2 linked regions of the Oryzias latipes genome follow. The protein of the gene in region 1 purifies or fractionates together with the protein of each later gene. This does not show direct contact. Links are inferred from orthologs where the notes say so. Each region holds a gene or a part of one and is shown on either strand. Other genes may lie near its edges.

The links. Proteins that work in one complex are often made in the same cells at the same time.
Region 2: the proteins of ddx27 (region 1) and pes1 purify together in Homo sapiens (affinity purification with mass spectrometry; 4 studies listed by BioGRID and IntAct, counting the BioPlex papers as one, with this or other methods). This does not show direct contact. The link is inferred for Oryzias latipes from reciprocal best matches to the Homo sapiens genes DDX27 and PES1.

What each region holds. Positions count from the first base shown.
Region 1 is NC_019863.2:25,259,971-25,265,982, reverse strand, and holds the start of ddx27 (probable ATP-dependent RNA helicase DDX27), read left to right. Parts: upstream 1-2,326; 5' UTR 2,327-2,377; coding exon 2,378-2,461; intron 2,462-2,989; coding exon 2,990-3,139; intron 3,140-3,208; coding exon 3,209-3,268; intron 3,269-3,742; coding exon 3,743-3,932; intron 3,933-4,189; coding exon 4,190-4,242; intron 4,243-4,315; coding exon 4,316-4,402; intron 4,403-4,491; coding exon 4,492-4,597; intron 4,598-4,675; coding exon 4,676-4,849; intron 4,850-4,943; coding exon 4,944-5,094; intron 5,095-5,171; coding exon 5,172-5,271; intron 5,272-5,528; coding exon 5,529-5,670; intron 5,671-5,751; coding exon 5,752-5,905; intron 5,906-6,000; coding exon 6,001-6,012. Other genes in the region: khk (ketohexokinase), read right to left, coding at 539-639. UniProt on the Homo sapiens protein: Probable ATP-dependent RNA helicase. Component of the nucleolar ribosomal RNA (rRNA) processing machinery that regulates 3' end formation of ribosomal 47S rRNA.
Region 2 is NC_019867.2:13,301,669-13,307,577, forward strand, and holds the start of pes1 (pescadillo homolog), read left to right. Parts: upstream 1-2,513; 5' UTR 2,514-2,686; coding exon 2,687-2,710; intron 2,711-2,907; coding exon 2,908-2,987; intron 2,988-3,890; coding exon 3,891-4,044; intron 4,045-4,522; coding exon 4,523-4,632; intron 4,633-4,761; coding exon 4,762-4,933; intron 4,934-5,014; coding exon 5,015-5,104; intron 5,105-5,624; coding exon 5,625-5,741; intron 5,742-5,813; coding exon 5,814-5,891; intron 5,892-5,909. Other genes in the region: p2rx2 (P2X purinoceptor 2), read right to left, coding at 1-16, 109-184, 272-343, 452-587, 920-1,086. UniProt on the Homo sapiens protein: Component of the PeBoW complex, which is required for maturation of 28S and 5.8S ribosomal RNAs and formation of the 60S ribosome.

The DNA of each region.
Region 1 (6,012 bases):
TCCAGCCACAGCACTCATGTTTGACCCCAGCCCAAACCCTGAACCCCAACCCCACTCAAACTGAACTGAACTTGTCAGAGCTGCGTTGCAACAGTTGAACATTTCACTGCTCAGATGATGATTTTTGGCAGCAGTTGGCGTTTATGACTGGTTAGCAGGTTAAACTTTGCCCCTGAGACACGATGAGTTGCAGATTTTCTTTAATGTGAGCTCAACAGACACTTAATAGCCATTAAAAAAAGAAGAAACCGGGGATCCACCTTCTCCCACGAGTGGCCAGGATAGGCTCCAGCAGCCCCGTGACCCCAAAAGGGACAAAACAGGTTTGGAAGATGAATGAATGACTACGGATCCACACTGATTAAATAAATTTTAGGACACATCAGTAGAACACAAAAGCTTTCTAAAAAACAATGTAGCTGCTTTCCACAACACAATTGGTTTACCAGAAGCATCAAAAGAGACAAAAGTGTGTATGTGCTGGCAGATCAGCTGATGGAAGAGTTTTGAGTGTGTGGCTGCTAGCCTGTGTGCTAACCTGCTGTCAGAGTCTTCCTCAGGGTATTTGTCCACCACGTTGATGATGTCAAGACACACCAGACCCACGCACAAGATCTTTTTCTGCTCCGCCATGCTCATCCGGTCTGTCCCTGTGTGTCCTCAGGCTGTCATGAACGCACACTGCAGCATGCTGCTCTTTCACACACTCACACACAGCTCATTTTCTTCCAGTCAAGCCACTACTAGCAGAACCAGCACTTCCTGTGAGCTAATCTACAAAATAAGAGCTTCCCTGGTACCAATGGAAACTGGTGACTCTGTAACATCTCTTACTACCTTTCATGCATCATAATCTTGATGTGGACTATTGACACCTTTGCAGTAAATTTTCATTCACAAGACCGCACTTTAGACCCAACCAGAACCAGTGAGCAGCCCCTCCTATATAACTGCATTGTGTGCATGATGTGTGTGGCATCATATAAACACGTAAGAGTTTGTCCAAGCCAATAACTGAAACCGTCCAATCACTTCCCTTCCAGACCACAGAAAGCTTTTCAGTAATACAAACTATGCAGAAGTTTATTCAAAATGTTTAGTTTGTAGCTTATAAATATAGACAGCAGAGGGAAGTGGTGGTTATGTCCGAGTCCTCAAAGTCATGGTTCACGAGTTAGAAACCCACTACTGTATTTTCAGTGTGCAGGTTATTTTTCCTTCCATAAAAGCTGAATTAACAGCTCAGGAAATTCATGAATGAATAAACGCTCCTGTCGATGCAGTGGAACAAAGTTCTCAGCTGTTTCAGGGGAGGAGCCAGCCAGTTGCATAAGGAGCAGCATTGCATCACTGCACAAACATTATTGCTTCAGTTTAGACGTCACTGTCACTGTCACTGTCAGAACATTTTCTGTTTGTTTTCCTGTGTGTCCTATAAGGTCCACCTGCCAAAAGGTGAGGATTTCATCTATGTCAGACCCCTTGGCCCGCAAGAGGGCTTCAAGGGCTAATGACACATTTAACGTGACGGGAAGTTTTACTTTTTTTTTGTTGTTTTATGAAGAATCTGCTGACGAAGCAAGGGCAGAACGTCCCCTACTGTATGCACTGACCTCTTGACTCTGCTGATTGCGAACTACAAAAACTACACACAAAGTCACGGTGGGTGCTAAAGCAAACATCCCCACAGTTTGTGGCAAAGCAACACCTGAAAAGAGATATAATCAAAACTAAAGGGCAAATGAACAAAAAGAAACAAACAACAAGCATATGAGTATTTTTTTATTCAACAAATGAATCAGGAGCAGATGAAAAATTGTAGTAGGAAAAGCTTGTAGGTGTGATGTAGGTGCTACAATGGGAAGATGACAATCCCCACTCCGCTCTACTCTGATGCATCCACTTGCAGACAAATAGTTAAAATTAAAAAAATAATTATGGATTAGATTTATCTGCAGTTTTGCACACGCTCAAAGCGCTTACATTGTGTTCAATATTCATTCACTCCTCATTCATACTTGGAGATGACAGAAGCATGGCTGCCAGTTCGCGCCTACGGTCCCTCTGACCATCACCATCATTCATACGCATTGATACAACAGTGATGCCGCACTGGATCCATGTATATCCATGATCCATGTATGTATATTTTTTTGCCATGCTGTACATTAATTGTTCTAAGATTGTAAAACTTGTAATTCATAAAAAAAAGAAAGAAAAAAAACATGATCCCGTAGCTTTTCTCTTTGTTTTTGTGAAGGCCTCCGCGGCAGCAGGAGGCGCCAAACAACATGGAAATCTTAGAAACCGGAATCTAGCGCTGACATTTCCGGTTTTCGTCTACACGTGAGTGCGTGGACAACAGAACCTGGAAAAAATGCTGGCGCAACTGGGTCTGATCGGGACCCTCCGGGACGAAGACCAGAGCCCGGAGGAACCCGATACCGAGTCAGAACCAGAGGTGAGTCCATACTTCTGCACGAAGGATCCTTTCGTCAAAGTTGGTTTTGTGGTTTATTTCTGACTTTGGTTCTGCTCCATCTTCCTAATCTTCTGTTGAATGACTCTGACCCTGCAAGAATAATAGTTGTTGCCAGGTTGGAGACAACCGTCCTCCTTTAAATTGACACACATTTTCTATAAGTAAAATGGATCTTGTAGTTGTGGTTCTTTTAATAAGCCCACCCTTCAATTTATACTTTTAACTTTTTAAAGTCTTTTTTTAAAGAACAATTTTAATATTTGTATTTGCTCTACTCAACACAATCTTAAGAAAAACATTTTAGCACAGACGTTTTGTTGAATTTAGATCAGAATTCACTGGAGAACACTTGAGAACAGTCCAATGTTTTGCTGTCAGTTATGGTATCTGTTGTGGTTTTATTAAATACCATTATTTATTAAGTTTATATCAGTAGTTATTTTACCTTTTAGCCGAATAAATTGGCTTTAAAAGAAAATAAGATGCTGAATGAACTGTTGTGTGCAGGAGGGGCCAATAGTCCTGAACAGGAAGAAGAAGCAGGGACCCCGCAGCTGCAGAGACTTCAACTGCGACTTTGAGTTTGTCGAAACAGACCGGCCGAGCCGTGATGAAGCCTGGGCCATGGCCGACGTGATGTCCCAGTTAAAAAAAAAGGTAGCTGGTTTGGCAGAGAACCGAAACGTCCTCCGTTCTTTTGCACTGATGTCCGCTCTGTTTCTGCAGAGAAGCCTGACGACGCTGGACCAGAAAATAGAGACAATCCGGAAGAAGAGGAAGGCTGAGGTGAGTCCAGTTCAAAAACTGTCAGGAAGTCTTACGGAAGAAGCGCTAGAGTTTATGCAGATGTATTATTCCCAAAATAAGAATAACTTTGAGAGTTCAGACAAACACTCGCCATAATTTGAAATCTTAATTGATAAAAATGAAAGAAAAGACAATTGAAGATTGAAAAACTATTGAAAGAGATGAAACAACCTAAAAATGAGCATCAAATACTTGTAAAATTATAACAAATTATTTTATTATTCTTTTATATCTTTTTTTGTTTGTTGATTTGAAGTTAAGCTGTTTTTTTATTGTCTTTGAACGGTGAGGTAAATTGGGGCGGAGGGTAAAAGTCTTATTGTTTTCACTCTCTTTTGTTTGATAGTTGTTACCTCGGCCTTTGTAGCAGCCTGATGTTTTAGAGCTTTGGAAATAAATGAAAAACATCTAAAAAGTGAATGTGTCTGAGGAAAAGTTTGGCTCAATCTGCAGGACAAGCAGAGTCCCAAAGAGGGAAATCCTTCAGCTTCTGAGAAGGAAGAGAAGGAGGAGGAAGAGAAACTGAAGGCAGAAGAGGATGAGAATGATGACAATGATGATGATGACGACGACGATGATGATGATGATGATGAGGAGGAGGAGGAGTTTGGCTCCAGTGATGAGGAGGTTCTGACCAAATCAGGTGGGTGTAAAGGCGAGACCCTAAAAAAACCTTCATATCTCGTGGTGTTTTCATTCAAATGAACATTTGAGCAGTAGAACCCAACGATAATACCTAGAAGGGAAGACATTCGTGTGAGCTGCTCAGGTGGTTACTATAACAACAGCATCAAAGGCCATCTGGGCCAACAGACAGAAAACACTTTTAAAGAACAGAACTTTGGAGGTTCTGTGGAGGCTCTTGGAAACCCCTGAGTAAAAGTTTTCTCTTTCTGCCAGACACCCTGAGAGATAAAGGCCGACGAGGAAAGAAGAGGAAGGCAGCAGAGGAGGTGAGGAGGAGGAGTTTGTGTCTTGGTTCTGGTTTCAGGTTCATATTTACCAGCGTTTTTTTTCTTTCTTCAGGCTCCTGAGTCGTTCCACGAAGATGCGTCTCAGTTTGATGATCAGCTGAGCTTTGATGACATGAACCTGTCCAGACCCATCCTGAAGGTGAAGCTTGTCTGGGTCAAACAGGTGTAGTCAGTCCGCTCAGAGGTCCACAGGCTCACCTTCCTGCTCTTGTTCTTGTGTTCTGGCAGGCTATCACAGCTTTGGGCTTCAAGCAGCCCACTCCCATCCAGAAGGCCTGTGTTCCGGTCAGCCTGCTGGGCAGAGATTTGTGTGCCTGTGCTGCCACTGGGACAGGTACCTGAGCTGCTGGTTTGACCTGTAGATTGGCGGTGCCGGGTCTGGCAGATGTAACCTGTCTGCGTTTGTCTGCAGGAAAGACGGCGGCCTTCATGCTACCTGTGCTGGAGCGTCTGATTTACAAGCCCAGAACCTCCCAAGTGACCCGGGTCCTGGTTTTGGTTCCTACCAGGGAGTTGGGGATCCAGGTGCACTCTGTTGCCCGGCAACTGGCCCAGTTCACTTCCATCACTACCTGCTTGGCTGTCGGTGAGATTAATTCCCATCATTCTTTGGTCCAACAGATGGTTCTGCTTCTGTACCGGTCTCTAGCCCCTGGTTCTTATCTATTTCCTGTCTCCAGGGGGTTTGGACCTGAAGTCTCAAGAAGCAGCATTGAGGGCGGGGCCAGATGTCCTAATAGCAACACCAGGTCGACTCATTGACCACCTTCACAACACGCCAAACTTTGAACTGAGTCATATTGAGATCCTAATTCTGGACGAGGCCGACAGGTAAAGACTTATTAATCGATTTATGGGCGTGGCCCATGATGAGACACTCACCTGTGGTTTCTGCTCAACCCTCTCAGGATGCTTGACGAGTACTTTGAAGAACAGATGAAGGAGATCATCCGCCTGTGCTCCTACAACAGACAGACCATGCTGTTCTCTGCCACCATGACAGAGGAGGTACGCCGGGATGGGTGGGGTAACATTTCAGGTGTGAAGGGCTGATGGTGGCAGAGATTCCTACTGAAGTGGAAGCATCTTTAGGGAAAACTTACTCCCTGAAGAAACCTGGAACCTTTTCTGTGATTCCTAGCTGTGACTTTCCATGTGACTTGTATGCTTTCTTGTCTTGTATAATCTATGTCCAACTGTTACTTGCCTGCCATCTTGCTACACGCTCTTTGACTCGTTTACCATCCCGCATCTTGTCCGCACAGGTGAAAGATCTTGCTGCCGTGTCGCTGAAGCAGCCAGTCAGAATTTTTGTAAACAGCAACACAGACGTGGCGCCGTTCCTGCGGCAGGAGTTTATCCGGATCCGACCACACAGAGAAGGAGACAGAGAGGCCGTCGTGGCCGGTAGGATCCAGTTCCGCGGGCTGCTTGGCAACACTGTCGGTGGTGTGGTTCTCCTCAGACCGTTACTTTTTTGCACTTCAGCTCTCCTGACTCGGACCTTCCAGGACCACGTGATGTTGTTCACGCAGACGAGGAAACAGGCGCACAGACTGCACATCCTGTTGGGCTTGATGGGCCTGAAAGTCGGAGAATTGCATGGAGAACTTAGCCAAAATCAGAGACTGGAGAACCTGAGGTACTCAAACCAAAGACGAAGTGCATCATATATGTAGAGAATCAGACACAAGGGAACTCTTCTTGGAGTGTCTTCATTGTTGTTTTGTTCTTTAGGCGTTTCAAAGA
Region 2 (5,909 bases), on another chromosome or scaffold:
TTCCCGGTTCTTCTGCCTGCAAAAAGAATAAAACGTTCAACTTAAATTAAGAGCGGAGGCTGTGGTGCACTTAAAACAAAACACGTGTAAAGAAATTCATGACGATACCATGGCCATTAAAGTCAACCTCCCCAGGGACGCAATCTGCGTCCTTTGAACAGTTGGCATTTTCAACTTTGTAATACTGTGCAGAAAAAAATGCATCTGGATTTTAGGATCATCTTTGTCAGCACTTCTATTGTTATTGTTTATGAAACCTCAGCTTACTCACCTCCGCACAGGTGCCTTGCTTCTGGTCATATGTGATATCTCTTCTGAGTAATGTACTAATCACATCACCTCCCTATGAAAAAAAGTGAAATGAATACCCAGAGCAGAATCCTCCATCACTAAGTAGTTGTGATTTTGATAGAGTGTAAGTGATATGGGGGAAGACGTTTTCCCAGCTTACTTCTGATGGACTGGCGTACTCCACACTGTCCAGGATGTCATCTCCATGAACTGCTGTGCCTTTCATGAGTGTATAAATAGAGCTATCTGGATGGGTTTCGCTGTCTTGGTATGCCTTCTGACTTATAAAAACATACCTTTGTGGATGATCGGACAAACAAACACAAAAGTCACATCTTCTCCACTGATGGGAAAATGTAATTGGAGGCATCATGTTACATTTGATCTACTCAGCCCACATGCAGTAGCCAAGAAAAGAAAATGACGCACTCAGACTCCGCTCTAGTTATCTTCCTATTTTGTTGAAATAAAAAGCTATTTTGCACTTGATGACTTATACATAAAAGATTAATTTTTCTAGTTTAATCCAACACAAATCACAACAGTCAGTTTACATATATAAAAAAAACAGCATTGTGTACAAATTTCTTTTTTTTTAAGCAAATATACAAACATGCTGCTCACTTACCAGATAAAATAGGTAATCACAAGAAACTGGACCGCCCTGTAAATGACTCCAAGAGTTCTGTTTTTCACGACCATCACTTTGGGGGTTTCGTAGTCCCAAAAACCACTGAAGCACTCCTTTAAAAAGTCATATAGCCCCATGATGACTTTATGAAATGCTGTACTCATATCCAAATCAGTGCTTGAGTCTTTTTATCAACAGAACTTTATCTTGTTACAACATTTCTTCTTCTCCCTGTCTGAGGCTGCTCTGCTCTTGTCTGCATTTTGCTGAAGCATCCCTGACATATGTGAGGGGTCCAATAGACAAGGGGTGGGGCTTAGATTTACAGTACAGACCAAATGTTTGGACACACTTTCTCATTCAAAGAGTTTTCTTTATTTTCATGACTATGAAAATTGTAGATTCACACTGAAGGCATCAAAACTGTGAATTAACATATGTGGAATTATATACATAACAAGAAAGTGTAAAACAACTGAAAATATGTCATATTCTAGGTTCTTCATAGTAGCCACCTTTTGATTTGATAACTACTTTGCACACTCTTGGTATTCTCTTGATGAGCGTCAAAAGGTAGTTTACCTGAAATGTTTTTCACTTCACAGGTGTGCCCTGTCAGGTTTAAAAAGTGTGATTTCTTGCCTTATAAATGGGGTTGGGACCATCAGTTGTGTTGTGCAGAAGTCAGGTGGATACACAGCTGTTCGTCCCACTGAATAGACTGAATTTGTTTTAGTGCTAGAAAAAAGCAGCTAAGTACAGAAAAATGAGTGGCCATCATTACTTTAAGAAATGAAGGTCAGTCAGTCCGAAAAATTGGGAAAACTTTGAAAGTGTCCCCAAGTGCAGTCAGAAAAACCATCAAGTGCTACAAAGAAACTGGCTTACATGTGGAGCGCCCCAGGAAAGGAAGACCATGAGTCACCTCTGCTGTAGAGGATGAGTTCATCCGAGTCACCAGCCTCAGAAATGGCAGGTTAACAGCAGCTCAGATTAGAGAGCAGGTCAATGGCACACAGAGTTCTAGCAGCAGACACATCTCTACAACAACTGTTAAGAGGAGACTTTGTGAATCAGGTCTTCATGGTAGAATATCTGCTAGGAAACCACTGCTAAAGAAAGGCAACAAGCAGAAGAAACTTGTTTAGGCTTAAGAACACAAGGAACGGACATTAGACCAGTGGAAATGTGTGCTTTGGTCTGATGAGTCCAAATTTGAGATTTTTGGTTCTACATGCCTGCTCCCACTGTAAAGCATGGAGGAGGAGGTGTGATGGTGTGGGATGCTTTGCTTGTGACAATGTTGGGGATCAAGAAAGAAAAAGGGCCAACATGTCTGTCTGTCTGTCTGTCTGTCTGTCTGTCTGTCTGTCTGTCTGTCTGTATCTATATCTATATCTATATATATATATAGATATAGATATATATAACAACCTGTAGGATAATATTGTTTTATGCAGCAGTCCACCATTTAACTAAACAGTGCATTCAAACATTGTTATTAATGTTATTTTTTTGTTATTGCTTTTTTTAGTAGCTCGCTCATCTACCGCAGCTTAATAAGACTATTGCGAGCAGGCAGATGAGCGGTCGACTGTGGGTCCTCGTGTCCGCTAAACCCAATCTGATTCTCTTGCGCATGTCAAACAACACGTGCATTTACAGCAAAACATGGTGGTCGTGTTCAGATTTTAACTACCTGACAACATATTTAGTTAAAAACGGTTTGTTTGGCTTTATTTCAGATAAACTAATTTCTTAAGTATGGGCGGCACTCAAAAGAAAAAGGTAAATGCTGGCGTTTTGTTTGAACTCAGTAACAGTTTCCATGCTACGTACGTAGCTAGCTAAACTAGCTTAAGTTTGTTCTAAGTGGTTCATTATGTTGGGCAAACGTTTACACGTGAATGTGAACAGTCAAAATTACATTTAATGCAGTTTACGGAAATTGTTACTGGAAATTTTTAAAACCGTTTTCTTTGCAGTTTGAGAGGGGCTCTGCCACCAACTACATTACACGAAATAGAGCTCGGAAGAAGCTACAGTTGAGCCTACCAGACTTCAGGTACCACACAGCTCAAGTTTTTTTCTTTTTCTTTTTTTTGTAAATAATACCTTTTTTTTTTTTTTTTTTTTTACCACTGATTTGGATGTTTTTTTTAACACGAGGTATTTGTTAAATTATTTTTGAACTGCAACTGAACTGGAGTGTGTGATTTTATGGTTTAATTTTCAGAGATTGTTATTAATGTACCAGCCCCTTTGTGTCTGCACATAACTTTGTGGTTAAGCATAGTTATAATAAAGGTTAACCTATTTGGAGCAGTTTCTTAAAGTATACACTACAGTGTAAAAAAAAAAGAACATGAAAACGTTGCAAATCATAAATGTTGGCAAACATTTATTTACTGTCCTTAAACATTTAACAGTTTGACATTCAGTAAATATAAATACTTGACATTACTTGCTACATTATTCAAACATGTAGTTGTAGAGTTGGATAAGTTAATTCTACCTTAACAGTCCTGGTACATCACCTGTCTGTCCTGGGAGAGGATCCCTTCTTCATCATGTGGACACAGCGGAGACTGTTTCCCCCGGAATCTGTTATTTATTTATCTATTTTTAATAACGTTTTGCTTACCGAGAAGTAGGGTCTAAGGGCAGGGGTGCCCAGTTTAGCTTAGTCTGTTTAGTTAAGTTTAGCAATGACCTACTGTATTTAATGACTGATTTAATGTTAGCCCAATAAGACAACTATTATTGTATTATTGGGCTATACAAAAAACATGCGACCAACAACAACCTTTAGCCTTTAATGCAATTAAAATATGTGCGGGCAGTGCAGCAATGTGCGTCTCGTATTGTGTGTGGCCAACATGATTTTCCATCAGATTTAGTCAGACTGCGATACACACTCATGTCATTTTTTTGTATCTCTGATGACTTGCTTTACTTTTTGTTTTAGACGACTCTGCATTCTTAAAGGCATCTATCCTCATGAGCCGAAGCACAAGAAGAAGGTCAACAAGGGCTCCACTGCCCCCAGGACCTTTTATCTGCTTAAAGATATTCGTTTTCTGCTGCATGAGCCCATAGTTGCCAAGTTCAGAGAATACAAGGTATTTCAAAATGTGTAAATGTTTTTTATTATTTTTTTATTACTTACATGCATAGAGAGAGCACAGTGTCGATTCCCTTTCTCTTCAAAGTGTGAATTAAAGAGCTTGTTGATACAAAAATACATTGCAGAAAATTTGTTAAAATAGAAATGATCACCAAAAAGTGACTAAGTTTGAAATGCATAACTTGTAGTTGATCTTTAATATGTAAAAAACTTTTTGTTTTTGCATTTTTTGCATTACCTGCAATGAAAAGTGAGGATTTAAGAGATCCATTCCTTCTCTGCAGTATAGACTTAAGTGTGCATACTTAATGTGCATGCTCACACATGGATTTGGATTTAAGGACTGGAAAATGTAAACAATATAAGGTTTTAATATATTATCAAACAACTTTATTTATTTTGGTAATAATCTTTTTGGATACTATACAGTCGAAGTGTAAGTTAGCCTAAAAATTTGTTCTTTGTTTTAATAGATATTTGTACGGAAACTGAGAAAGGCTTATGGAAAAACGGAGTGGTCTGCAGTTGAAAGACTGAAAGAAAACAAGCCAACCTATAAATTGGACCACATCATTAAAGAGAGGTGAGACTGACTTAAAAAGTGGGGCATAAGTAGATTTTTCTGTTAAATGAACCCATTGTTCTGTGTTTTTCTAGTTTTTAAATGTAAGACAGATAAACCTACCTCTAAGTCAATTGCTTTCTGTTGTAGATACCCCTCCTTCATCGATGCCCTCCGTGATATCGACGACGCCCTTTGCATGTGCTTCCTCTTCTCCACATTTGCCAGAACGGGAAAATGTCACGTCCAAACAATCCAGCTCTGCAGACGCCTCACTGTGGAGTGGATGAACTATGTGATTGCATCACGCTCTCTCAGAAAGGTGCAGCTTTACTGAACTCTTTCACAGAAAAAAATTACAGTTCTGTGTTTTCTGACATACAACCCACTCTGTTCCCGTTAGGTTTTCGTCTCCATCAAGGGAATGTACTATCAGGCTGAGGTGATGGGACAGCTCATCACATGGCTGGTGCCCTATCAGTTCTCCCATGATGTAAGTCAAATTGATGAAATGAGGTTCATAAGGAATATACCAATAAGCAGTGACAGCAAAATCAACAATGTTCTAACTAAACACAGAAAGTCCCCAGTTAATTAGTAAAGCTGTTTACATAGTTTCCAAAGTCTGACATCATCTTTTTATATTTACTTTTAAATACCATCTAAGTCATTTAGGAACCAAAACATTTTAATTAAAGGTGATTAATTTCCAGTTGAGGTGCAGACGCCGAGACTCCTTTATGTTGACTTGCTTCAGTGCCTTTTCATTGTTTTCCAAATACTGATGTCCTCAGAAGAAATAATTCTTCTTTACAAATAGACAATTTAACAGCTAAAAGAGGGAGGAAAGCTACATAAACGTTCATGTGATTTTTGATCATTTTTATAAAGTGTAATTTTAAACTATTTTTTTGAATTATTACTCAAATTATATGTTGAAATGTTTCACTTTGACACAGTTATTTGGTGAGTAGACCTTTTATTTTTCTAAAATAATATTTTTGCTGTTTTAGCACCCAACAGATGTTGACTACAGAGTCATGGCAACTTTCACAGAGTTGTACACAACCCTGCTGGGGTTTGTGAACTTCAGGCTCTACCATTCCCTCAACCTGGTCTACCCTCCAAAGGTATTTTGAACTGGAGACGATTTTAAGACATACGTATGAGCTCCACTTTGAACCTACTCTGTTTTCACACAGCTGGACATTAAAGCAGAGTCGGAGCTCAAGGGAGAGAATGAAGATGAATATGCTATGGACTCAGAGAGCTACCCCGAGGTTAGTTTTTATTTATTT